7 linked regions of the Canis lupus familiaris genome follow. The protein of the gene in region 2 interacts with the protein of the main gene of each other region in a pairwise test. Links are inferred from orthologs where the notes say so. Each region holds a gene or a part of one and is shown on either strand. Other genes may lie near its edges.

Evidence for each region.
Region 1: the proteins of MAPK9 (region 2) and ARRB1 interact in binary tests that used the Homo sapiens proteins (3 or more experiments, as listed by UniProt). The link is inferred for Canis lupus familiaris from reciprocal best matches to the Homo sapiens genes MAPK9 and ARRB1.
Region 3: the proteins of MAPK9 (region 2) and SHMT1 interact in binary tests that used the Homo sapiens proteins (3 or more experiments, as listed by UniProt). The two-hybrid records come from large-scale screens. The link is inferred for Canis lupus familiaris from reciprocal best matches to the Homo sapiens genes MAPK9 and SHMT1.
Region 4: the proteins of MAPK9 (region 2) and LNX1 interact in binary tests that used the Homo sapiens proteins (3 or more experiments, as listed by UniProt). The link is inferred for Canis lupus familiaris from reciprocal best matches to the Homo sapiens genes MAPK9 and LNX1.
Region 5: the proteins of MAPK9 (region 2) and WDR62 interact in binary tests that used the Homo sapiens proteins (3 or more experiments, as listed by UniProt). The two-hybrid records come from large-scale screens. The link is inferred for Canis lupus familiaris from reciprocal best matches to the Homo sapiens genes MAPK9 and WDR62.
Region 6: the proteins of MAPK9 (region 2) and LNX2 interact in binary tests that used the Homo sapiens proteins (3 or more experiments, as listed by UniProt). The link is inferred for Canis lupus familiaris from reciprocal best matches to the Homo sapiens genes MAPK9 and LNX2.
Region 7: the proteins of MAPK9 (region 2) and ARRB2 interact in binary tests that used the Homo sapiens proteins (3 or more experiments, as listed by UniProt). The two-hybrid records come from large-scale screens. The link is inferred for Canis lupus familiaris from reciprocal best matches to the Homo sapiens genes MAPK9 and ARRB2.

What each region holds. Positions count from the first base shown.
Region 1 is NC_049242.1:23,399,682-23,403,181, reverse strand, and holds part of ARRB1 (beta-arrestin-1), read right to left. Parts: intron 1,977-3,500; coding exon 1,841-1,976; intron 860-1,840; coding exon 775-859; intron 322-774; coding exon 249-321; intron 1-248. UniProt on the Homo sapiens protein: Functions in regulating agonist-mediated G-protein coupled receptor (GPCR) signaling by mediating both receptor desensitization and resensitization processes.
Region 2 is NC_049232.1:1,736,426-1,739,925, reverse strand, and holds part of MAPK9 (mitogen-activated protein kinase 9), read right to left. Parts: intron 2,852-3,500; coding exon 2,788-2,851; intron 1,777-2,787; coding exon 1,705-1,776; intron 38-1,704; coding exon of another isoform or gene 33-37; coding exon 1-32. UniProt on the Homo sapiens protein: Serine/threonine-protein kinase involved in various processes such as cell proliferation, differentiation, migration, transformation and programmed cell death.
Region 3 is NC_049226.1:41,434,465-41,438,739, reverse strand, and holds the start of SHMT1 (serine hydroxymethyltransferase, cytosolic), read right to left. Parts: upstream 2,801-4,275; 5' UTR 2,631-2,800; intron 1,785-2,630; exon of another isoform or gene 1,638-1,784; intron 1-1,637. UniProt on the Homo sapiens protein: Interconversion of serine and glycine.
Region 4 is NC_049234.1:46,944,372-46,948,354, forward strand, and holds the start of LNX1 (E3 ubiquitin-protein ligase LNX), read right to left. Parts: upstream 2,801-3,983; 5' UTR 2,069-2,800; intron 1-2,068.
Region 5 is NC_049222.1:117,439,456-117,442,492, reverse strand, and holds the end of WDR62 (WD repeat-containing protein 62), read left to right. Parts: intron 1-69; coding exon 70-181; intron 182-290; coding exon 291-432; intron 433-514; coding exon 515-575; intron 576-758; coding exon 759-1,406; intron 1,407-1,921; coding exon 1,922-2,079; intron 2,080-2,184; coding exon 2,185-2,451; 3' UTR 2,452-2,537; downstream 2,538-3,037. UniProt on the Homo sapiens protein: Required for cerebral cortical development. Plays a role in neuronal proliferation and migration.
Region 6 is NC_049246.1:12,133,556-12,137,778, reverse strand, and holds the end of LNX2 (ligand of Numb protein X 2), read right to left. Parts: intron 2,819-4,223; coding exon 2,683-2,818; 3' UTR 501-2,682; downstream 1-500.
Region 7 is NC_049226.1:32,043,136-32,047,155, forward strand, and holds the start of ARRB2 (beta-arrestin-2), read right to left. Parts: upstream 2,801-4,020; 5' UTR 2,702-2,800; coding exon 2,679-2,701; intron 1,407-2,678; exon of another isoform or gene 1,264-1,406; intron 1-1,263. UniProt on the Homo sapiens protein: Functions in regulating agonist-mediated G-protein coupled receptor (GPCR) signaling by mediating both receptor desensitization and resensitization processes.

The sequences.
Region 1 (3,500 bases), on a different chromosome or scaffold from region 2:
TCATTAGGTCTCATTTGGTCATTCTAGTTTTAATGGGTCTGTCCCTTGACTGTGGCATGTATTTTCTTGTAGCTAAACCAAGCAGGTGTTTTCTTAAAAGGCTATTTGGGATGATCTACTCTGAGCGACAAGGAAGTCTGAGATCCAGCCTTCTGTCAGGTGGAAAAGAACCATCTGCATCTGTAACTACAGCCAGGGCTTCTCATTTCCCCACCCACACATCCAAGGATGGGCTTGTGCTCACTTACTCAGCCTCTTCCATGGCCACAGGGCACTTGTACTGGGCTGTGTTAAAAAGGCAGATGTCCGCATACTGGCGCACTGAGAGGGAGAGGGAGACAAGGTGGTGTGAGCCAGGACTGCAGCTCCCGGGCATCCCAGGCTCCCTTGAGTTGGGGATGTTCAGCCCCAAGAATGGCCAGAGTGCACTGGGAGATTGTTCAAGAGACCACCCTCATCTTCCACACAAAGGGTAGCCCGAACACACCTGTTCCCTTCCATCACCAAAGGTCTCCCTCAGGGACAGCTTTGCCCAGAACCCAGGGAACTTAGAGGGTAGGTGACTTAAACAGTAAACTCATTACCTGGCCAATGAGTAGCCTGTGTTACTAGCCTCAAAAGCCTTTCCCTTTGGCCTAGAGTAGGCCCTGGGCTTTCCTGCGGGCCAATAGTTATCTACAAGGCTGTTAACAAGGGGAGAACCTTCAGCCACCCCCAACCCTTGGGAGAGTTCCCTCTTGCTGGCCCCATGGGGTGGCCTTCCACCCGGGGTACCCGAGATCTTGATCTTCTTCACTGTCTTGTTGGTGTTGTTGGTGACGTGGACATTAACGCTGATGGGTTCTCCATGGTAATAGATCTGGGAGGCAGAAGAAGAGAGAAGGGTTGGACCAGAGGATACTAAAGCTCCAGAAAGATGGAGGGAGAAGAGGCCCCATCATATATCCTAGGGTTCCCCAGACTTTGGCCACTCTGACGTTGGCCTCAAGTTCATCAGCCACTTCCCACTGATGCTAAGTCACTGGGCATGTTAGACCAGTTCTTTGTCAGGATTTTGAAAGATAATTGAATGAGGAGGTGATATTCCTGGGCTCTAGTCTGGACTTGGTGACCAGAAATAATGAGAACACTAATTATAATAATGATAAAGAGGATGAACACGGTGTGACCTTGGACAGGTTGGCTAAGCCTCGGCTTCCCCCCATCTGGAGGACTTGGACTAGGTGATGTATCAAGTCCCTGCTGGCTTGGGATGCCAGGAATTCTAGACACAGGAGGGCCTAGAAGAAGCAGGAGAGAGAGGTGGGGAAAGACGGGCCTGCTCACCAAGGGAACTGGCTCTGAATCCTTACTGAAGGACCTCAACTCAAATCTGTGGCCAACACTTGCCCTCAGCTATCCACAGAGAGAGAGAGAGAGAGAGAGAGAGGCAGTGCCCACACATTAAGAGGGGGACGGGGTGCAGGAAGACGGCCGAGACTCAGGTCCCTTCAGGAGGCACGCTGACTTCTTTTTTTTTTTTTAATTTTATTTATTTATGATAGTCACAGAGAGAGAGAGAGAGAGAGAGAGAGAGAGAGGCAGAGAGGAGGCACGCTGACTTCTAAAGTCGATTGTATCCCTCAGGCTCATGCCCCACTCTGCCATTCCTTTAGGCCCCCAGAGGCTTCCCCACAGCCCCCTAAGGGATGTCTCAGATTCCCTGAACCCTGTGGTCTTAGGACTGGGGGCAGAAGCTCTTACCTACCCCAGGAGCCCTGGTGACCATGAGAGAACTGGGATGAGATGTCCCAGCCCCAGGAGAACAGCCCCCACCCCCTGCCAAGTCCAAGCCTCCTACCTCCTTATCCAGGGAAGCTTCTAGATGCAAGGGCTTGTCCGACATGAGGAACTGCCTGGTGGTCTCAGCTGTGGGCTGGGGGCCAGGCCTCTCCGGGGCATACTGAACCTTCCTGATCACCAGGCGCACAGAATTCCTAATGGAGATGGGCAGAGCAAAAGATAGCCAGAGTCACCTGCCTCCATCCTCCTTCCTCATAACCCTCCCTTTCCTCCTCAGGAGACTGCCATGGCTCCCCCGGCGTTACAATCCAGACCAAACTGCAGAGGTGGACACAGAGGCCTTGTCACCACCTGGCCCCACTCCATCCTCCCCCATTGTGTACACAGCCACCCCCACTTCCTCACTATCATCCTCAGTGGTTCATCTCGTCCTGTCTCTGCAGCTTTGCTTACACCGGACCCCCGCCTGCAATACTCTCCTCCTGCTTCTACCCTCATTTATTTCCTTCTTCAGGACCCAGCTAAATACCTCCTCTTCCAGGAAACCTTCCTGGATCAGCTCACTTGATCTTGTCCCGGTCTTAACTCCCACACCAGCGGAGCTGAACCACCCCATGGCAGTCCCTCATGTGGATCTGTGCCTTGGCAGCCAGCAGGATGGCGAGAAAGGAACTATGTTTCACTTCCCACATCCCTTACTTTACTTAATAGTGTAAGCTCCTTAAGGAGCAAAATTTTTATCTCAATTGTTCACTGCTGTGTTTTCAACATCTATGACAGTGCCTGCCATATAACAAATGCCTTCCAAATATCTATTAAATCAAAATCTGCAGAGGGACCCCATGAAAAGGTGGGGGCTCAGAGAGGTGACGGGGTTCAGTGAGGGGGTGTGGATTCAATCAGGGGGATGTAGGCCAGTGACAAGGATGGGGACCCAGTGAATAGATGGAGGCCCAGAGATGAGATGGGACTCAGTGAAAGGGACAGGGGCTTAGGGAAGAAACGAGGATACAAGGATTGGGAGGGGATGGGATCTGGTGAGGCAGTGCCTGCGATGTGCTGGGTGTGCCAGCATCCCCATTTCTCACCTGCACCCCCTAGAACTGGACAGCCAGGCTGAAGGTCTGAGCTTGCCCCTTACTAACTATATGCCCTTGAGAAAATTCACCCCTGGATCTCAGTTTCCTCATCTGTAAAATGGCAACAGTAGCAACACCTACCTCCCAGGGTTGCTGAGAGGATTAAATTAGTTCCTACATGTTCACCACCCTGAATAGTGTCTGGTCCTTAATAGGCCCTTCATAAACGATAGCTGCTATATCATTATCAGTAGTATCTCTGATGTGGACTTAAAATGTCACACTGGCATAGGGTGAAGGCAGTGGCCCTCAGTGTCGTTCCTCTTCCTTGCTCCGGTCAGGCCCCCTTCAAAAACCCACGAACCCCTATCTTTCCCCTGGTCTCAGGTCTGAAGAAGAAAAGGAAGACAGAGAAGCCAGGGAGAAGGGTCCCATCTCCCCACACCTTGGAGTTGCCTGGGCTGGAGATGGAGATGCTCAATACGCTCTTCAGCCGCCAGGTGGCAAACTCAGCCCACTCCCTAAGAAGCCGCAGTGCCCTCCCTCAGCCACCCTCAGCCAGGCTCGGTAGGAATGCGGGCGGCTGCCTGGGGAGGCAGGGTGCATCAGAGTGGGGGGCTGAGGCCAGCCTCGCCTCCT
Region 2 (3,500 bases):
GGAAGGAGTGGCATTGCTACTTACTGCTGCATCTGTGCTAAGAAAACCAAATATAATAAAATCTGAGGCACGACACTGCTGCAGGTTCGGGCAGTGAGACATGAGGCCTTTCTCAGCTCCATGCTTCTGTGGCCCCCCAGCCTAACTGCTCGTACTAACAACCCATGAGCCTGCTACACGTGCCCAACTTTTTCTGGAGTCTCTCTTTGGGTCCAGTATTCCAAAAATTTCTTGTCTGTCCCTACAACATTCTCCTTTTCTTCCTAGTGGCTAAACATCACATCTGTGCATGTGTATAATGTTTGAAAAATATGCTTCTTTAAAAAAGATATTAATAGAAAATTGCTGCATCTATCCTACAAATATAGGTGTCACAAAAGGCTGAAGCCCAAATAGGGTTCAACGGTCATCAGACATTTCAGCTATAATCATCAACACTTTGTCCAAGGGAAAAAACAGGAACCTTTGAAGAATTCTTTTGTAATATAAATGGAGTGGAAAGAAATCAGAGAGGGAGACAAACCATAAGAGGCTCTTAACTCTAGGAAACAAAACTGAGGGTTGCTGGAGGGGAAGTGGGTGAGGGGATGGGGTAACTGGGTGATACACATTAAGGAGGGCACGTGATGTGATGAAGCACTGGGTGTTGTATGCAACTGATGAATTATTAACTCTACATCTGAAACTAATGATGTACTATATGTTGGCTAACTGAATTTAAATTAAAAAAAAAACTGTTAAAGACTGTATACAAACAAAAAAAAAAGGAAAAAATTTAGTGGCCTCTTGTTCATTTTATTTTTGTTTTCTACATCCCCAATACTGATGTTTTTTTTTTTTTTTTTTTTTTTTTTTCCAATACTGATGTTTTGATTTCTGAAGTACACAAAACCATGCCATTACCGACTGTCCATATTTTAGGCTGGTTTGAGCAAAAATAAAACAGTCGAGCTCTTGGAGGCCAGTGCTTGCATTCTTAAATTTGTGCCTGATTAACCACAGCACCTAAATCTGTGCTAAAGTTACATAATCTCTAGATGCTTGACACATATGTCATGCTGAATATAAAATTCAAGAATGAGTACACGGTGCAATCTGCACTTCTGTGTGCGTGTGCTCCTGTGGGGGTGGAGGTGGGGGGTGGCAGAGGATGTGAAGTGAGAAGATAAATACAACTCAAAGGAGTTCACTTAGGAAGCAGGTGGGATCCTACTGACACATGTGTTAGGTCTCTAACAGTCACACGGTGTGAACAGATTCCCAGGCAGACCAAGTACAAATACAGGAGAATCACATGAATGATTTTCTCAAAAGAAAACCAAATTCCATTTTGCTTAGATTCATGCTAATTTTCTTTAATCACTGTGTGTATGTGTGTGTGTGTGTGTGTGTGTGTGTGTGTGTGTGGTGGTACAAAGAGGGTCACACAAATTGGTAACATTTTAAATCAGCTCCCTCATCTGTAAACTGAGCTGACAGCAGCAGGGACAAGTGCAGAGCAGGGATGTCTATAACACAGTTTAGTGCCTGTTACATCAGTAACCCGTTAGCTGCTGCTACCACGACACACTGAGACAGGAAGACCATCTACCTCGGGGAGCTTTCAGGCCCAGTGCTGGTCAAGCCAGCATTTAGCGCACTGCTACCAGTTTGGAAATGGGGTTGAGGGGGTGCTAAGATCAAACTATTAAAGCAATCACTAACCTGAAGGCTGATCTTTCACAACACCATTCTTGCTTCTTTCTTCCCAATCCAGCACTTCTTTATAAATCAGTTCTTCAAATGGAAATGCAAGTTAAAAGGCTTCATCAGTTTCTTTGTGTCTCTGAACCCTGCTTTCTAATCAATCAGAACCACTCCAAGGGCACTGTGATGCCTTATTTTTAATTATGGTATACAGTTAATTCAATAATATCATCTGGTTAACTCAATAGTATCACCTACAAAAACCAAAACACCCACGTCTTTAACTCAACTGTTAGGGCAGCCAAAAACGTAGGCAGTTCTGAACCCACAGGGGGTTTTATAAGGGGCTGGAGACCAGCAAAAGGGCTCTCACAGAGCATTTCAGAGTACTGGATGCTTTCACACTGTTTGCACATGTTTCTCTCCATTGTTACTTGGGATTCTCCAAAAGGAACTGATATCTATCTATGGGTGAGAAGCCCCTCCAGACTGGCCAGAAATTAATCCAAGTTCCTCAGTCATTTCTTGGCTTCAACCTCCATTTCCTTGATTCTGATTTGTGAGAAAAGCTAACAACATACTAAGGAAGCATTAGGGGTTCTTAAAATTTTGGCCTTTGTGAATCAAGATGAGAACACTGCAAACATTTCTGGAGGCCTATGAGCCAACCGTTGGCCACAGGCTGTGCCTGTGTGTGTCGGCCTGCTGAGCATGTGTTCATGCAGGTCATGGCACTCTGGACGCCCCGGAGCAAGGAAACATTATCTGCTTGGGCAGGGCACATTGCCACCTTTGACCTGCACTGACCATGGTTCTCAACTACTACTGATTCTGCTTCTTAATGGAAAATTGTTATTTGACCTCCTGATTATGGGTTTAGTTTATTGTGGGTTGTTTGGTTTATCTTACAGTCTTCAGAAGCAAACAATATGCAATCCATACCTGCTCCTCACTAATTGTTATCTGCAAGTTTCTTCTGTGCTAGGGATTGTGAAGAGATGGGCTGAGAGGGGCTGCATGGTCCCTAGCTCCTACCCTAGGAAGGCTACTGCTGAGAGTAAAGTGCCGCAAGCGAGTGGCAAAATCAGCTCTGTTCTTTACCTTTCCACTCTTCAATTGCATGCTCTCTTTCTTCCAACTGGGCATCGTAAATCTGAGGTGGTGGCTGAAAATTAAATTACATATGAAGTCAACAGTTAAAACCATAACGAGGCATGAAGACACTAAAATCACCAGGGAGAGTCTAATCTATGTATCATGTGGCTTTCATTTCATATGTAGCTTTTTAAAGATTTCTTTATAAGTGTGATATTACATCATTTTCAGAATCAAAATAATTAGAGGGAAATTAGCCCCCCCCAAAATGGAGCTATTATGGTCCTCTTAATTATAACATGACCTCAAGACACCCTAAAGGCATCTGTCCAAATGTAACTATAAAATCAGTAATTTGAGCCACTTCCTAGAGACCAGTCCTGGATAAGGACATGCCAGCTCAGGTTTACAGTTCATGTTAGAGCCCCTGTACCCAATCCGCAGCTCACATTGGGCCATCCCAAAAATTTCCTTAAAAATCACATGCTTATTATAAATGGGACTTTCATATGAAACGTTATGTTTCTGTGGTGGTTAAATCTACAGGCCAAAAAAAAAAAAAAAAAAACTAAAAAAAAAAAAAAAAAATCTACAGGCCAGCCCTAAAATGAGCCCACCCCTATGCCAGTTATCTCGCTTACAGCCAGAGATCACCCATGCTGGTGCTGCTAAGGGAAAATGCGCCTGAACACTGAGCTCGGAAGTGGAACTCGCCCAGC
Region 3 (4,275 bases), on a different chromosome or scaffold from region 2:
GACAAGTGGGTTGCTCCCACCTTTTGGCTACTGTAAGTGATGCTGCCACAAAGATGAACAAATACCTTGTTTTCAGTCCTCTGGGTGAAGACCCCAAGTGGAATTGCAGGATCATATAGTAATTCTACATTCAGTTCAAAACAAGCTTTTGATATTTAGGAGATCTATACTCTACTACTATTATCAGCCTACAGTGAATTCATTCACTCCTGCAACAAGTATTTATTGAGGAGCTCCTATGTCCTACGCACTGAGCAAGGAACTTACTAGAATATATACGTCAAAAAAGACAGAGGCCTTGCTTTTACGAGGAGCAAACAAGTAAACAAGAAATACAGAAGGTAATGTCAGGGGGTGGTGATTGCTATAAGGACAATAAACGGGTAGAGGGCTTCTTTAGACCAGGCCATCGAAAGTACCTGGGCTGAAACCTTATCCTCCTAAGGTGCTCCTCACCTTATTGCCCTTAGTGCAAAGACCCTAAAATGGGAAGAAATTTGACTTGTCAAGAGTCAGAAATCAGGCCCACATGCCTGAAGCTTGGAGAACAAAGCAGAGGCACAAGAAATGACACTGAAGGACCAAGGGTGAGAGCAGGGATGGAGAACAGATTCTTCACCTTGACAGGATGTATTTTACAAGGTTTCAAACTATGTTCTAGAAACCTTGGTCTTGAGTCACTTCTCAGTCTGCCTGTGAAATCTGAAACTAACAACTAGAGAAACCCAACAGGGGAAGACCAGGGTTCCTTATGTAAAAGAGCAGATGGTGAACATCTCCCAAGCTGGACCCCTCCAACTCTCTCATGTCCCAACAGTGAAGACCACACCCAAGGAAACTGTGCTAAAGCCAGCCTCTCCACTTCCTAATGTGCAGCTCAGCTACTGACACCTCTGTTTCTCAGTCCCCTCATATAAAACCCAGGAGCGAAGACCGTTCTGATTTGGCAGGGAGAGCCAAATGAGCTACCGGACATACACAGAGTGCTTGGAACACTGCCAGGCACAGAGGAAGTACTCAAAAGCTATCATCTAGTACAGTTATTAAAGAAATGGAGGGACCTTTGGGCCATCTTTGTTACCACTCAGTAACCTGGGCTGAGCACCCTGGGAGCACACAGCTCACTGCAGCTATTATTATCATTATAATGCTGGATATTTTTTTAAATGTATTTATTTATTCATAAGAGACAGAGAGGCAGAGACATAGGCAGGAGAAGCAGGCTCCCTGTGGGGAGCCTGATGTAGGACTCGATCCCAGGACCCCAGAATGACCTGAGCCAAAGACAAGATGCTCAACCACTGAGCCACCCAGGTGCCTCTAATGCTGGATATTTCTGTGGGGGGGGACATGTCACTCACGTGTGGCATGATCCTCACCTCAACCCCAGGGAAACAGACCTGAATTTACTTGCCAAGGTCATCAACCTCCCCATGGCCCCAAATCTTCCCCAGGACTTTGTCACACAAGCGTAACCAGCCAGAAGTCTCCGGAGGGAACCACCCTATTGAATGTCATCGGTCTGTCCCATACACAGATTTTTCATTATCTAGCTTACAGAGGAGGAACCCGAGGCTCAGGGAGCTAAGTGGTCTAAGGTCCTACAACAAAGAGTCAGAATCTGAAGTCCAGTTTACCTTTAGTTCCAAACATCCTCACGACACTGCACTAAATAAAAGCACAGGTTGCCCACCTCCAGTGCATGTTCCCTCAGGTAAGAAATTCAAAAAATGATTCCATAAGAACCTGAACTGGTGTTTCCAGTCCAGCAACTGCCTGATTAAAGACACATGTTGGTGCTGGCCCCAGCTGATCAAGGGTCACTTAACTTCTAGGACCTCGAAGGCCAGGGCGTGGAGCCAAGAACCCTACAGTGCAATGTTTGTCTCCCAGCACAGTGAGGGCGGGGGGCGGGGGGAGGGCGGCGACGGAGGACAGACTGCAGACAACAGGCGCAGCTCCGCCCCCGCAGGGCTCGGTTCACACCAAAAGTAGCGCGACCCTGTAAGCAGTGGTTGACAGTGCAGGCTTGGGGAGCTTCCGTTTGATTCCGGGCTCTGCCATTTTGCCATCTGCAGGGTCGCGCCCAAGTCGGCTCTTCTCTCCGAGCCTCACCTTCCCCATCTGTAAAATCGGCTACGCGACAGCGCTCCGCCTGTAGCTTTGCTCAGGGGATTCTCAGGTGAAGGGGTGTACTTAAATTTAAAATGCTCTACAAGGGACGTCTGGGTGGCTCTGCCTTCTGGAGTCACAGAATCCTCCTGGAGTCACAGGATCGAGCCCCGCATCGAGCTCCCTGCAGGAAGCCTGCTTCTTTGGCTCTCGATCTGTGTCTCTCGTGAATAAATCAATAAAATCTTTTAAAAAAAATGCTCTACGAAAGAAGCGCTCAGTGGAGAGCTACCTAACCAGCAGCAATCAGCCTTCGCGTCTGAGTCAAAGACCGCCCTCACCCCCTAGCGCACCGGCCCGTGACCAGGCCGGAGCATCCGGGCTCGCCGCCCTCCCTCCGCTCACTTTTTCCGGCCTCTCAGAGCCGCGGGGGAAGCGCGGCTGCCAGGCGCACACCACAAAGCGCCCCGAGAGCGCCGGGGGCACCGAGGTCCTGGCACCCGAAGCAGCCCACCTACCGGCACAGGGTCCCGCACAGCCCAGCGCCCCCGAGACCCGCCGCCGACCACGCTGCTGCCGCCGCGAGCAGAGTCCGAGACCCGCCGACCCGCGTCCGGCCCTGTGCCCGCCACGTGACACCTGCCGCGCGAGTCGGGAACCCAGAGCTTGGCGCGCAGCGGCTCTCGCGCTCCACTCCGTGCCCTCTGCGGGCAGCTGGGCCCCGCCCCCGGAGGCGCCCAATCAGAGGGCGCCCCGCCCCCCGAAGCGCGGGCGCTATTGGCTGCAGCGGAGCGGTGGGCGGGGCTGCCCCTCCCGGCGCGGCGCGGGGTAAGGCTGCACAGTGCAGCTGCGGAGCTAGACCTTCGCTGCGGCGCCCGCGGGCTAGGCGCGGGGCTTCCGGGGTGTCCGCAGAGGGCCTGTCCCAGCGCGTTTGGAATTAGGGGTGAATCTTGTTGCTTATATTTGACATTTGCATTGCCCTTTTTACAGTTTAGCACGTGATCATAGGACAAACCTGGGTTCGAATTCGGACACTATTACTCTGTGTAGAAGCCTATCTATATGAGTTTCATATTTCTCAACTTTGAATTGGGGATACTTTTATCTGCCTGACAGGACTCTCGGGAGGACTAATAGACATATCTGAGACACTTCACATCGCATCTGACTGACATGTTATAAGGACTCAACATATATTAGCCTTTGCTAAGAATCCTAAAAACCAGGGGTCTGCCCAGTGTACGAAAAGAGCTGACAAAGATTCTCTCAGGGACCAAATTCTACTCACGCTTGCCCAATTTTAGGAAGAATTCAGCTAAGTCATTTTAACCAGAACACCCCCCGCCCCTCAAATCCCCCATATCTGATTGGATTCCTTGTCCTCCACCATCCTTGGTGATGTCAGATCCCCCTGGCCTGGTCAGGTTAGCCAGAATCCCCTTACTCCTGGTGTTTGCTCTTACTAATTTTCCACCCACTGACCCTGGCTCCTTGGCTGTAGATTCCCAATCGCCCGTCCTATATTCAGAGTTCAGCTGCATCTCTCTCCCCACCCTGCAAGCGTCCGTCCAGCAAATTTGGTTTCTGGTAAGGGCTCTCTTCCTGGCTTCTATATGGGTGCCTCTCACTCTGGCTTCTATATGGGTGCCTCTCACTATGCCCTCACATGGCCTTTCCTTGGTGTGTGTGTGCACAAGGGGAGAGAGAGCAAGATCTCTGGTGTCTCTTCTTATAGGGACACTAATCCTACCAGATCAAGTCCCCACCTTTGTGCCTTCACTTAACCTTAATTACCTCCTAAAGACCCTATCTCCAAATACAGTCAAATTGAGGGGGTCATCCTCCAACATAAGAATGAGGGGGATGACACAATTCATTCCATAGCAATCAGAATGGCTAAAAATTAAAAACAGTGCTAATGACAAATTCTGGAGAAGCTAAGAAACAGGATCTCCCATATATCACTGGTAGAGATGTAAAATGGTACAACCACTCTAGAAAACAGTTTGTCAGTGTCTTTTTTTTTTTTTTAAGATTTTATTTATTTATTCATGAGAGAGACACACAGAGAGAGGCAGACACAGGCAGAGGGAGAAGCAGGCTCCATGCAGGGAACCTGATGTGGGACTCGATCCAGGGTCCCCAGGATCACACCCTAGGCTG
Region 4 (3,983 bases), on a different chromosome or scaffold from region 2:
ACACATACGTACGTCTATGCTTCATCTATATCTGTATCTCCATCTACATGTAATGCATATGCTAGGTTGGAATCGTGTTTTCCAGACTTTCCAGAACACAGGCACCCAGAGGCTGCTTTGGGCGGACAAAATTTGGAGTGGCTGCTCCAGAAGCAGGCTCAGGGTCTGTCTGCGACAGGCTGGCACTCTGATGAGGTGCAGAGGAGAAATATTCTCCTTCCACTCACCTAGTGAAGGATGGAGAGATTCCTGAATAAGTAGATATCCACGCGGTGCTGTGTATGTGGCTGGGGGTGAAACTGGGATTCAAAATCACATCGGCGCAGCTCCTTTCACTATCTTCACTGAGATAGTCCTTCACTACCTGCCTACACAACAGGGCCTCTACTGGGAAACGTCTTCCCGCCTCCCCCAACAGGCCCAGAATACCTACAGATGATCCCTCTGTCTGTGGTCCCAGGGCATTACTGCACCGCACGTAGCTGGTTGCACACAACTAATTCACAATGTTTGATCAAATTGAGAGTAGAGCTCCTCTCATCTGCACTCCTAGTATCTCCCATGGAAGCAGGCATGGGGTAATTAAATAGTATTTTTGAGCGCTCATTACGTGCCAGCAAAGGCTTTACATGCATTCTCTCATTTAAACCTTAAGACAACTCCATGAACGAGGTGATACTATTATTCCCATTTTGCCTTTCAGAACACTGAGGTCATAAGAGTTAACTGGATTAACTCCAGGGCACAGAGCGAGTGGAAAATAGTACCGAGATTCAAGTCTAATTCCCAGAATGTGCTCTTCGTCGCCTGTTCTGTTGTCACCATCTTGCTCTGAATGTTCCATGAGCAAATTCCTACTGTGGGGAGTGGTCCCAATCTGAAAAGCTCCCCCTCAGTCAAAGTCCCCTCTTTATGCCAAGCTCAAGTGTGAAGCTCCTGTCCCGTGGAGAGTCTTCTCATGTACGACCTCCACCCTCGGCCCCCACAGTGCATTCCTTCAGCACGCCTTGGCCACATGGTTTGCACCGTGCTCCGATATGTGGCCCAGTGCTGGGCACCCAGAATGCAGCTTATCAACATTTGGTGAACTGGATTCGGCGCCCAGGGATGGATGTAAACAGCGATAAATAACAAGGTGGCATATCGTACTGGATACTCTATTTCTGGATTTTCTAGGCGAATGAGTTCCAATTTCTAAAATCCTATCCTCCCATCGGATCATTGGCCACAGAATATGTGGCAGAGAATATAGCCTGGTATTTTGGTTTGAAGAAGCACCTGGCTGGCTCAGTCTGTTGAGCATCCAATTCTAAATTTCGGCTCCGGTGGTGATCTTGGGGTCATGCTCGGCAGGGAGTCTGCTTGAGGATTCTCTCCCTCCTCCCTCGCCCCTCCCCATGCTCTTGCTCTCTAAATAAGTAAGTAAATAAATAAATCCTTAAAAAAAAAAAGGTAGAGTCACCGTTCTACTGCAAAGAGGCAGGAATAGAGACAGGATGTGCCCTCTGTTACTCACCTACCCACATGTTGGCAGGCAAGTCAAATTTCCCTGGACCTAAGTCTCTCCGTGAGTAAAACTGCAATGGCAATACCTATTTCCACTACAGAAATGAAGCAAAATAGGTGAATATGTTTCGGATACTGATGAGGAATAATGTTATATGAATCCAATTACTGTTAGTGGGGTTGTTTATGTTTTTACTGACCTGTTGGACCAGTAAAAAACAAACAAACAAAAAACCCCAACAAAATAAAAGAAGCAGTTTTTAGTTTTGAAAATGAAGGAAGAAGTTTCTTGTGAAGAGTAGCGCAATAAAAAAAAATCAGGTATTAAAAATGTAGATATCCTGAGGGCCTTTCTGGAGTGTTTTGAAAAAGACATACCTAGACATTCTAGCTTTTGGCTGTCTTCAACAACTTGGAGGGGCGGTGTGGTGGGTGCTGGGGGGTGGGTGGTCGGGCTAAGGGTGGGAGGCTGGGCTGGGAGAGTTAGGAGCAAAGTGTCTCAAATCGCAAAGTGTCTCAAATCACATGAGATGTTCCCTGGAGGGGGAGGCGGGACTCTTACCTTTGCTGCACGGTGAACCGGTTCCCAGTCGTGTGAGGCCTCGGGTGGGGGGCAGTCCGCTTGGGAGCTGATCTTCTGTGGCCCAGGGAGATTTTCTCTCTCTTTCCTGTGTCTCCTCTTCCAGACAGGCATGAAAACCATTCGGCCTTGGAGGTAATCAGCTCACCTCCTGCCCCTTTTGCAAGGCTTTGTGTCATGCTGATCCATGAACCCGAGAGCAGCCTCCCAGGAGCTTCCAGGGAGAGCAGCCCCCCCACCGAGCAGCGCTCATTAGCATCAGTGACTAATCTGTTCTGGTCTGGAAGGGGCCCAGGCTCCCTTGACCGTCCCTGTGCTCTCAGGAAAAGCCAGGATCCTTTTGTTCACCTTTCGGCCTGCCAAGTCAGTCCTACCGCACCCCTGAATGTTGTTTTCCTGCAGGCAATGGGAAAATGAGCTGGGAGCCAGAGAAGGGAAATCAACAAGGAAGTAAACACAGGGTTCACTGCACCTTCAGGTCCAGGTCGTCCCCAGGGCCTGGGACATCCTCGTGCTGGGACCAGTTCCTCAACAGGCAGGGGCTGCTGCCTGGACGGGCCTCAGAACCCTGGGCGTCTTCTTATTTTTAATTATGCAGAGAAGCATGAGCTGAAATGGGTATCAGACAAATCAAGGCATCCCGACTCGTTCCACGGCCTTGCCAAGACTTTAAAAGATTTTCCATAGGCAGCATCTCTTATAACGGAACACGGCCTGATGTTTGTCAGACAAAGAAGAAAAAGATGAGCAAGTTCATGGCTGATATTAGTTAAGACCTTTAACTCTAAAGAGACAGGACTGTTGTTTAAATAAAAGGTAAAAAAAAATAAAATAAAAAAAGCAGTTTTTATTTTTGAAAACGAAGGAAGAAGTTTCTCGTGAAGACTAGCACAATAAAAAAAAAATCAGGTTTAAATAAAGGTTTCTCCTACTTACTCGTGAACAGCGGGGTCAGCATCCGCAGCCCAGCAGCATCTCTGCCAACATCTGTCGAGGGCTGACTGGCTGCAGGGTCCTGTGCCATGGCCTGACCTGCATTATTATCTCATTTACTTCTCCACATAGTCCTACAGTTATCATTCCCATCGTATAGGCGAAGAAACGAAGGATTCGAGAGCAAAGTGCTCCGGCCAAGCGCTCCAGAGAGGTGTGAATGGAAAAATTGCCCTTTTGGAAGTGTGGCCTTCCCCACCAGTCAGCTTCAGGACTTCTGTTCACTGGCATCTCTGGCGATGGCCAAAGAGCTTGCTCCCTGGGGCTGTGAGTTCGATGCCATCTTTATATAACTTGTTTGTAGCACACACCGGGCTGGGCACCTCCTCTTGTCTCAACCACAGTGGGGCTGCTGGCTGCTATAGACCCGGCTCCCCCCTTGGGGCTCCTATTTACGCACAAGGAAGTGGGCTACAAATCTCTGGGCCTCTCTGTGTGCTTTGATCATGGTCTGATTGTGAGTATGCCCTTCTGGTTTTAGGAGCCTAACAGTTATGAGCTTCTTTTAATCAATAATCCAAGGGATGAATGACAAGGAGTTCACAGCCTGAAAACCTCTCCCTGGTGAGAAAAAAAAAAAAAAACACAAACCAGCACATGTGTTCCCAGTCCTCAGGTCACACTGCAACGTGTTTTGGTTTTATTGGCCTCCTCCTTACTTCCAATTGTTAGCATTTAGCTCTCCTGTGCCACGGCGGTTCCCCGGGACAGCTGGCCGCTGGTCAAAGGAAAGTAAAACCGTTAATTAGGAGACAAGGAGATGCCTCCCAGCGGGGTCAAAGTTGTCTGTTTTTGTAAATATAGGAGTTGCGACATCAGGGCAGTTGCTCACCCTTGTTACCCTGGGGTTGGTTTGGGTGGAGCTTTGGGGTGTCTGGCTCTGAGGCCACATAGGCCTTGAAAC
Region 5 (3,037 bases), on a different chromosome or scaffold from region 2:
TGGGTCTTCCTGGGCTCAGGGCTGGGCGGCTGGAGGGATTCTGAGGGCTCCGTTGGCCTCTTCCTCTAGAGCTCTTCCATGGATCCCTGAGAGACTTGGAGGCCCCTGAGGCTGAAGACTTCTTCAATCCCCGGCTTAGCATTTCAGCTCAGTTCCTCTCACGTCTCCAGAAAACATCCAGGTAGGAGCAGGTGCCCCTCCTACCCAAGCTCGCTCTCTCTCGCAGGACAGGACTGTGTCCCCTCAGGAGCCCCCAGGCCAGCCACAAACCCCTGCTTTCCTTCCCACAGGTTTACCCACACCTTCCCTCCCCGACTGCCCCTGCACCTGGTGAAGTCCCCAGAGGTCAAATTCACGGACCTTGGGTGCAGCCAGCCCAGGGCAGAGCCTCTGAGAGTAGGCGCTGGCTACACCTCCCCAGGCAGAACCAGCGTGAGTATGGGGCCACTTCTTTCAGGATTTAGGGCTGGGAGCAGGAGGCCTTCTTGTCCCCACCTCCTGGTTGTGCTTGCAGGTCCTCACTGGGAAAAAGGCTGAGGAGCCCCTTGAGACACTGGAGGCCTGGTTCCCACTGAGTGAGTGCCCCCATCTGCAGATAAACAGCCCTGGGCATCTCAGCAAATGGCCCCGGTGCCCATCTGAACTATGGGGCAGTAGGGATGGGCAGAGGCCACTCAGCCCCTGCAGCCTCCTGGGGTGGCCCCTCACATTGGCTCTCTGGCTGGGGTGTGAGAGTGAGCTGGCTGCTTCCTTTACAGCCCCCTGCCTCTCAGGCCTGGCATCCTGTGCCCCCTCCTCAGTGCTGCCTGCTGACAGGAAGCCTCTGACGCCCATAGCCCTGCCCACTCCAGGCTTGACTCAGGGTGTCCACAGCCCCTCCTCCCACTCCTACATGGCGGCTGCTGCGAGCTCCCGCGCCAAGATGTCACGCAGCATCTCCCTCGAGGACAGTGAGGGCCCCGTGCTGGCTGAGCTGGCCAGGCCCCTCCCCAGGCCGTCCTCCGTTGGGGAACTGGTGTCCCTGGGCCAGGAGCTCCAGGCCATCCCCACCGCGGCAGCACCGGGCTCTAACAGCGAGGGCCGAGAACCTGCCTTGCTCTCCTTAGGGGGCAACCACGAGGCCCGGGCCAGCCTGAAGCTGACCCTGTCAAGCATCTGCGACAGGCTCTTGTTGCCCCCTCCCCCGTTGGATCCTGTGGCCACCCAGCCCAGCGTCACAACAGCCACCTTCCCAGTCCCCAGCCCCGTGGATGCAAGCTCCCTGGGGCTCCACAGTTCCACCTTTCTCCCGAGGCTCCTGGTCCCTGAGTCCCCCAACACCCCTGCCCACCCCAACAGCACCTCACTTCCAGAGACCAGGCCCGGGGTCCCTGGCAGCGTCACCTCCCTCCTGGAGCCCGCCCCTGGTGAGTACCACTCTTAGGCAAGGCTCATCCCTTGTACAGCTGGCTTTGCTCCAACGGTGGGCACTTGACCTGGCCACGGGGGCTGCACCATTCGTTCACTTAAATCTTTAGCGAGCACTTCATACATGTTGGGCTTTGTTCTAGACTCTGGGCATTGGGGCACAGTGGTTAACAAGACCACAAAGAATTGACCCCTTAACTGGGAAGACAGCCAGACATGAAACAAAGTGTTTAGTGTGTCACGAAGGAGTATGTGCTAAGGACAGAAATAAGAGAGAGGGCTTAGGGAACAAGCAGGGAGGCAGTGGTTACAGTTTAGAGAAGGATAATGAGAAAAGTCTTCAATCTGGAGAAGGAGGGCACTTGAGCAGAGCGGGAGGAAAGTGAGCCTCAGGGGACCGAGGGAAGTGTTCCAGGCGGAGGGACAGCAGTTGAGAGCAGCCAGCCATCCTGGCCTTTCTGAGACCAGCTGGAAAGCGGAGGTGTCTTTCTCATTCCCTCCCCTCTAACCCCAGATGCGCTCAGTCTGGTCCAGGGCGGCCCTGGACACTGGGAGGACCCTGGGGGGCCATTGAGGTTCCTGCCCCCAACTCCCCTTGAACTAAGCAGTGTGAGCACCATCGTGCACAGACTGCAGACTGCCTTCCAAGAAGCCATGGACCTTTACAACCTGGTGAGCCGAGCCCCGGGGTCAGAGGCATGGGCCAGGGGGCTCCCTGGGACAGCCTGCCTGAGCTGGCTGGGTGGTGGCCCCTGACAAGGTCGGTACCCCTCGCAGGTGGTCTCCAACGACCAGATGAGCACTGATCAGCAGCGGCAGGCACGGACTGAGCTGGCCTCCACCTTCCTTTGGATCCATAGCCAGTTAGAGGCCAACAGCTGGCTGCTGAGGAGTGATGTGGCCCCACCCCAGGCCCAGCCTGGCCTGGGCTCCCCCTCCCCACCGACACTGTGCCCCCTGGCCAGCCCAGACTTGCACGCCCTGCTGGAACATTACTCAGAGCTGCTGGTGCAGGCTGTGCGGAGGAAGGCCCGGGGGCACTGAGGGCTGGCGCCTCCCCCCGACTCCCAAGACAGCCTGGCCACTTCAGAGGAAATCGGTGTCTGAAGCAAATAAACTGACAACTTTGAGGAATGGTTCCTGGTGCCTGTCAGGGTGCATCCGCAGAGCTCCCTCAGGCGGATGCGGGGAAGGAGGGCAGGGTGGACTGCCCAGGGAATACAGGTGGATAAACCCTGGAAGGGGTGAAATTTGTGTGCCGTAGGTGTTGGCTGCCCAGCATTGTACCCTCACCTGCTTGTCCCCTGCCTGTCTCCCCTGGAGGATGTCAGCCCCAGTGCCCTGCCTTGTTCCAGGACTCCGTCAATGGGACCAACATTCCCAAGAAATACAGGAACTGCAGTAATGATGATCCCAACAGCTGGATCCCATGTCTCCCATCTCTGCTGAGCCACTATGGGATCAGTTGTGGTCCTTGCTATTCCCCAAGGTGGGGCCTAACTATTCCCCAAGGAGAGGGCACACCCTTCCTCTGCCCCTTACCAGTGCCCCAGAATGTACTGGAGCCACTGCCGTCACCAGGTGCCAGACCCTGGCTCAGGACACACCTGCTACACCACTGCCAGGCCAA
Region 6 (4,223 bases), on a different chromosome or scaffold from region 2:
TTACTGTGTCTATATGAGAATGTGGATGTTAGCTGAACCTCTTGTGGTGACCATTTCACAATATGGGTAATTCAGTCCACCATACTCTATGCCTCAGATTTTACACAGTGATGTGTGTCAATTATTTCTTGATAAAACTGGAAAAAAAATGCATAGAAAAAGACTAACGGGAAATCCACCAAAAAATAAAAATTAAAAAAAAAGCACCATATTTTATATCAGCCTATATATCCAAGGTATTATCACTTCAACATGTAGCCTGGTAGTATTTCTGGTATTCAGTGGCCACACATGTTGGACAATACAGGTCCAGAGGTAGTGCATGGGCAAAACTTCCAACAATCACACGTGTTATGCACATAAGAGGAAGGATCAGAAGATGGACTTAGGATTCTGAGGTCCAAAGCTTGGACCACTGAAATGAGGACAGAGGGATCGTGAACAAACAGAGATCACATACTGAGTCAACTTCTGCTACTCAAGAAAAGAGACAATGTCACTAGTATGGAAAGGATGACTTTTATTTCCATCCTGATTATCACACCATTATTTAAACACATTTGAAAATCCTGAAATAATTTAAACCAAAGGCACAGAACAAATCAAAATATTTGAACTATTTATGCTTAAGATGAGAAAATTCAAATATTTCAACAGTAATAATAAATTATGAACAAGTTTCCATCACCAAATATCATTCTGACCAAAAGCTACCATGTTTTGTAATAAAACCAAATTAGCTTAGGCTGAGTCTGAGATTTCCATGATAAAAATAATGTCGAAAAAAGTGTCTTCTTTCAAAATACTCGTTATATCCCCAGGTTCAATGGAAGTATTTTATATATAACAAAGTAGCCATTAGGATATTTGTTGATGGATGGCCACTCCCCAAGAAATGACACATTCTTACAAAATGTTTAAAAAAATAGCAAAGTAGGATAGAAAATTCTATTTGGGGAGCAGGGGAAAAAAAAAAACTTGTTCCATGTCAATTAGAATATCAAAGCATTTCAATACCAAATTGCTTCAAAAGCCAATCATCACATAACAGTAATATACTGTATGGGGCATTCCACTGTATCTTCATTATATGTTGATCATACAGTGTAGCTAAGGGGTTGAACAAATCAGTAGCAATTATTGTTGCCGTTTCTTATTTATTCAAAAGAGACAGGCTTAAAAAAAATTACTAAGAAACTAACAGGAATAATCAGTGACATGCTATAGACACGATAAATCCTAGCAATGCAATTGCTAGTTTGAAAATCAAGTGGTCATGCTTCATAATATACTGTCATATTTTTAAAATACATTCTCTGATAATCAATACCATTTATTACAGAGGTCACTTGTAAATGAGCTCAGATTCTGAACTATATTTCTAAGTGAAACTTTTTCAAGTATGGATAATATTAATAAGGTAAAGATATTTTGATCTTACTTCTTTATGTATTCTTCCAAGGGACAACCAGGTGGAATGAAGGGCTAACAAAGGGGGTTGATGGTACTTTTCAAAAACAGAAAAATAAGAAGTAGCCTAGTGACCAAGAACTGACTGAAAGATATTAATATCTAAAACCTAATATTTTAGATAAAAATCCAGGACTTTTCAGTCTTTTTCTTAAAATAATTAAGTTCACAAGAAATAATGGGGAAAAAATTTAGGATTTCTAGAACACTCAAGGCTTTTCTTGGAATGAAATAAAAAAGGTATACCTTCTCCTACACTGAGCTGCGATACATATGAATGTGTACTGAATAGCAACACAGTTTTATCTTTAGTTTAACTGCATAAATCACAAAAAGCATGTCTAGCCAAGACTGCTGATAAGTACAATACAAACTCTAGAAAATGAATTTTAGCAAAAACTGCTTCAAAATTTCCCTGCATAACAAATCATTCCTTTGGAAATGAATCTTTAAATGCTACTGGACTTGTGCAAGTAAGTGTGGCTTTTACCATCTCCAGCACTAAACTGTAATCACCTCCCAAATGCCTTTGTCACTGGAAAACGTGATTTTTTATTATCTAGTATTCTAATTAATGATATATTATTTTTTAAAAAGCTCTTTAGTAGTGTCAGACTTCTGTCTTCATCACCTACAAGTACTAAGAGAATAAAGGAGAAATAAAATAAGTCCAGAAAAATCACTTTTTACAAACAGTATGAAGTTTTGAAATGTTGGCACCGACAGGAAAAAAATGGGGAAGGGCTACCAGCTAAATTTAAAACATATCCATTTGTGGCCTTGGTTGAGGCAGGGGCAGAGGAAGCTACCGCTACTGGCTTCACAGACACCAGTGCTGGGGCATGGAACTCATTCTAGGACTTGGAGGGGAAATAAAGAACTGCCTGAGGTCCTCTCATCCAGCTGGCCAGGTCACAGTTTGCGCGATCTTCATTATTTCATTATTTTAGGTCACATTCTGAAAACGGGGAGTCTGGATTTTGAAAATAAGAACTTACAAGGGTTAATGAAAGACTGTTTCCAAGCTAAAAGAAATGTGGCTAACTTGAAGAAAGCCATTTTAACAACAACAAAAGGACAATCTGAGTGGTTCTGGGCCCTGCAAACACCAGCTGAGTCTGGCACTCCTAACCAGAAACACAACACAAGGAAAGAGATTTCTTTCCAAAGTCTAAAAAGGGAAGATGTTTGACTAGAAACCAATTTCAAAACCTACACCAGGCTTCCAGGCCAGCAGATAACTGTCAGAGTGACTTTGTTCCTTTGCTCCTTCAACATGGGAACGAGTGCAGAATGGCTCATGCCCACAGTTGACAGGCCGTTGACGGCTACGATCATATCCCCACATCTGGACAAAGACAAACAGAAATGGGCTGTTAACTATTTTCATGGGATTAGAAAACATTATCCTAACATTGGTTTAGCATGAAATTCACAGTTTCACTTAACCATTAGCTGTCAATGGTAAGGGTCTATTTTCTACTTTGTGAAACATCTGGGGCAATTTTTAAGCCTCTATTGGCCTTCCCTTGCCAATCAAGGACACCCATGGGCCGACCTCTCCTCTAACTGCTGGGTGATTTTGAGGGCAAGCAGAGCAATTTTCATGTAAGCATAAGCAAAATATAATTAGGAGAATAAATGTGCTGTCTCTTGAAGGAATACTAAATAATGCATTTGGAGGGGGGTTGCTTATTATTTTGACTATTCTTTCTCTGTTCATTCTTAGAGCTCATACATTTGAGGGTTTAATTACACTGAGAATAAGACCCATACCTCCTCTTCTTTCAGCTACTGATGCTTGTCTTCTGACAGGATTATCACAAACGGATGATACATCTGAAGGTCTTTCTCTTCTTTATGATTTTTGCTCTTTAGTTTGTAATACTAATAAGTTATTTTGTTGTTAGTTCCTTCAATTTTTTTGGAAGTAGGTGGAATGCAAATTATAAACTAACTGAGACCCACACTGGTTGAGTAACTTAGCTAAGAGAATGGTTAATTCATTTTCCCCCTACTCTTTCTGCCTAAAATACTGATTTTTTTTTCACCCATCTCGGTCAACATAAGACTCATCAGGAGCTTACTGACCCTGATCCACTTTTTACAAGACTATCTGGATGGTACTTTCTCTTTGTGAACAGTATACATTCTCCATCTGTGCGGCACTCTGTCTAGTGTGTCAACATTTACTTTTTAAGAGTTGGCTCTTCCCTCAAAAACTAAACACTAAGAATCTACATAAATCCATCTCCTCTCACTCTGTAGAATCTCTTGATCTAACATCTCGTTCTTCTCCCAGTGCCTGAGCTTTGATAAAGGAACGAGGCTGCACAAGGTTGGCTGAGGACTTCCTGCCCCGCAGAGGAATTAGCAATCCCAGCTCTGTAGAGATAGTCCGGGGTGTGAACCCAATCAACCATATCCAGCTATTTGGCTGTGGGCAAGTTTCTTAATCTTTCTGAGACTTAGTTATCTTGTTTATCAAACAGGAATAGCAACATCACTTACCTCAAAGGGCTGTTAAGAAGATTCAATAATATAATCCCAAGCGCTTAGCATGGTTTCTGGCAGCTATCACATGTTCATTCATCAACTATTTATTGAGACCTTACTATATACTGTTACAGCGGTCAGGAACATAATAATAAATGCAACACATCCCCCCACCCCCAATGGAGCTTGCATAAATATAATGCTAAGTAGACATAAGTGCTGTGGAGGAAAAATAAAGCAGAGTCACCTAATGACAG
Region 7 (4,020 bases), on a different chromosome or scaffold from region 2:
CCCCCTGGCCCCGTTCCACCCTTACTAGCTCCCCTCCTCCTACGGCAATGGCAGGAACCACCCAGGCTCTTCTGAGTGCAACCCCCACCCCCCAGGGGGCCTGAATGGGCAGGTTGTAGGAGTGTCTGTCTCAGACCTGGCCCTGCTTCCATCTTCTCCGGTCTCCAGCTCCAAAGATGGCTGGAGTACCCAGAAAGGCAATGGCCCTGCTTTTGCCCCTGAAATGGTTTCTACTTGTAGGCACTACTTACGTGTGACCCTACTCCATTAACCTCCAACTGTCCCCATCCCTGATCCCAGCGGCCTCCGAGCCTCCTTGTCTTTGAAGGCTGAGCTCAGATATCACCTCCTTTAGAAAGCAAATCCAGCCCGGACCCTGGTTACTCCTTTTTTGGGGGAGGAAGGGGTGTTCCTGTTACACTGCCTCGTGTTTTCCTGGTGGTGTGACAACATGCACAGGCTGTGAGCTGTGGATCATCTGAACATCTGCCTCACTAGGTAGACGATGCTTCATTAGAAGCTTTATTCAGTTAAGCACCCCCAGCACACTGCCTGGGGGCGGGCTGCCACTGCCATGCAACCGGACGATAGAGATGATGACATTGGCTGGCATTTGTTGGGTGAATGCCCCGTGCTCAGCACTGTTTTAAGAGCTTCGTGTGTATTATCTCATTTAATATTCTTAGCGACCCAATGACGGAGGTCCCAATGTTCCTAGTTTCCAAGTGAGGGAACCAAGGCATGGAGGACTGAAGAATTGAGCATAAGACCCCAGAGGGTGTAAATGGTGGGACTCAGATGACCAGAGGCAATGTGGCTCTGAGCCCATGCTCTTTATCGCTAAAACTTCATATTCTCCTGTCTCTGCAATCGGCATTAAACTTGTTTAATTGCCAGAGCTCCCTGCCCTCACTCCCTGCCCCAACACCCAGCCTTGGAGCTGAAACAATCTCAGCTTGGGCTCTACCCACTGCTGAGAGGGTAGGCAAGTGTCTGGTGACCCCTATGTTCTGGCCACCTGCAGGTCGGACCTTCCCCATCCCAATCCGCTATACCTCAGTGGCCATCACAGGGCAGAGTCCTCGGATAGTAGACAGTGAGGTCCTGCCAACTAGGCCATCCTTCCTCCAGCCGCCCCCCCCCCCCCGCCCCCCGCTCCCCACCAGTTCTGCTCTAACAACTTCACTTGCTGCTTCTTCCCAGAAGGCCAGGCTGTCCAAAGGTCATGAGGCAAAGGGTATGGGGGTCCCCAGGTATCCCAACCTAATGAAGCAGAGTAAACGTTGGTAATGATGGCAGCTACAATGAGCACCACCTCTTGTCCCAAGCTGGGGGCGAACAGCTATGGCTTCATCCAGCTCTCTTTCCCTTTTGCTTCTAGTTTTCCTTTTTTCCCAGGGTTTCTCCTATTAGGAAGAAAGTCACTGGACTATAGTTTTGGGGTAACTGCCCCGGAGCAGCTGCAGGGTGACCTGCTCTTAGGAGCCTCAGCTGGCCAAGGAGGCAGAGTGTGGGGGTGCCCAGAGGTGCCTAGTGAGGGGGCTGGAAGCAGCAGACGTTCTCTCCATTTCCTGTGGCCCAGAATTAGATGGGGGTGGCAGGAATTATGCCAAGTCAGCAGTACCCCTCTGGTCCATCCATCCTCCTCCCTGAACCACATAACGGAAATTGGGGGCCTCCCTCAACTCAGCAACTTCCCCTTTCTTGGGGGTGTTATAAGCCCTAATCCAGGCCAGCAGTCCTGCCTCTGATCATCTCTTTCTGATATGACTCGACTTGAGGCTCAGAAACCTGGGTTCTCCTATTCTATGGGTGGGGAGCGGTGGGGCTGATAGGATAATGTTTTGCAGAAAAAGAGGCGTCTGGGGACCAGGGCCCAGTTCCTGATGCCTTCTGGATAAAGGCATAGTGCCCCAATCTTTTCCTCCTTTGCTCCTGCTCCCCAGGGACTCAGGCATTCACCCACTATCCCCCTGGGGGTGTTGGCCCACAACAGGAAGTGGATTTTGCTAGAGACCAAAAAAGAGAACTCAGGGTATCAGTGGAAGGAAGGAGCCTCGATTGCACAGAAAACATCCGGGGAGTGGATGGCGTGCCCAGGGCAGATACTGTCTCCCCTCACCTCCGGGAAGAGGGGTAAGGCCCCGAATGGAGGTGGGGGGTCGTCATGCACTCTGCTCCCCCAAGATGAAGCTGTTGCTCCTAGCAACCTGGGGGAAGGCAGAAGTTTGGAAGCAGAGCCACCTGGCCCTTGGGACAGCCCGACCGCCTGTGGGGTATTGGCCAGGAGGCTCTCCCGCAGCTCGGCACGAGTCTAGGGGGGATCCCCTCCCAGCATCCAGCCTTCCCATACCCGACCCCTCGGGGCGGCCACCTGCTCCTCCTTCCTCCGCCCCTGCATCGCAGCCTACACCGGAGAACTCGGTTGTCCGGCCCCCACATCCCTGCGGGAACCCAGACGCCGCTTTCCTGCTCCCCTCCAGCCCTCGCCGTCTGCAAGGGCCCCACATGCGTCCCCCTCATTATCCTCGAGGACCGACGCGCGCGGCCCCAGATGGCTGTCCCCCCGGGGACCCGGCCCCCCCGGTCCTCTCCCCCGGTGTCCTGGTCCCAGGACCGCCCCGGCCCCCGCCCCGCGCCGCCGCCCACGTCCCGCCGCGGGGCCCCACCTCCCTTACCTGGTGCCCGGTTTCTCCCCCATGGTGCGCGCGCCCGCCCGGTTCGCGGCTGCTCGCAGCCTCCCCGCCTGCCGCCGGGTGCCTGCTCCTCCCCGCGCCACTGCGCACGCGCGCCCTCCGCGCTCGCTCCCTCCCCCGCCCCTCGAGCCCCCTCCGAACCGGGGGAACCGGGGCCCGATGCGTCAGCCCAGACCGCGCGCGCCGCGCCGACTGGCTCCGCCCCCGTGCCCGCCCCGCCGCGGCCCCGCCCCGCGCTCCCAAGGGGTCCCTCCGGCGCGCGCGGTCCCCGGTGCCCGCTCTGCCCGCCCATCTCTCCGCCCCTCCACGCCCCCGGCGGGAACCGATTGGGCTCCCCGGAACCGAGGTGCCCGCCCGCCGGGAGGGCGAGGGCCCGGTGATTGGCTCCCTGCGGCCAGGGCGCCTCGGGGGTCCCCTCCCCTTTGTTTGCTTTCTCGGAGGCAGTGGGGGCTACGCGGGCGGTGGAAGCGGAGGAAGGAGCCCCGGCGCGGTGTGGGGAGAAGGATGCGGGGATGCACACGTGGGGGAGGAGCCCCAGCTGCGTGATGCTCGCTCCGGCGCGCGCGCCGCTCACCTCAAGGCTCTCAGCCTCCGTCGGCTCGTCCGTCCGCTTCCTTACTGTGGTGTGTCAGCTCCCTCTGCTGTCTGTCCCACATCTGCAGGGTTGCTTGCCTGTGTTCTCTGACTACCCATCTCTTCCATCTGCTCTCATCACAGCCGGCATCCGTCCATGCACCTATGCTCCCGTCTATGTGTGCATCCGTCCATCTATCCATGCATCCATGCCTATTTCGTGTTAGTCACTGTTCTAGGCGATAGGGACACAGACACGAATTCCCAGGGCCCCTGCTTTCTAGGACACTTTGGGAGACACATAAAACAGGTCTTATGATCCCAAGAACACTAAAGTGGAGGTATAACCCAGAAGGCAAAGCAACTACCAGCGCTTAACTGGGGCAAGGGCGGAGGGAGGGTACGCAGTCCAGAAGAGGAGACATTTGAGGACAATATTTCTAAGGGTGGCCAGAGGTTGAGAAAAGGTATTGCAAAGCCACAGAAAGGCAAGTCGTGTCCTCTTCCGAAGAGTTTGTGGGGTTCCACCGCAGGAGAGGTGAGGTGGAGAGGGGGACTGGAACAGGGTGTGAAGGATTCCGCATAGCAGGTGAAGGGACAAGGTCTTCTGCGGAGCAGGATGTGTGGATCCAGTTAAAGAATGGCACAGTGAGATTTCTCCTTCAGGAGGATAATCCTGGGCAATGTGGACGGTGGAGAGAGTGGGGCAAGGCTGTCGAGGCTAAAACTAAAGAGGAGAAGAGAGGCCAGG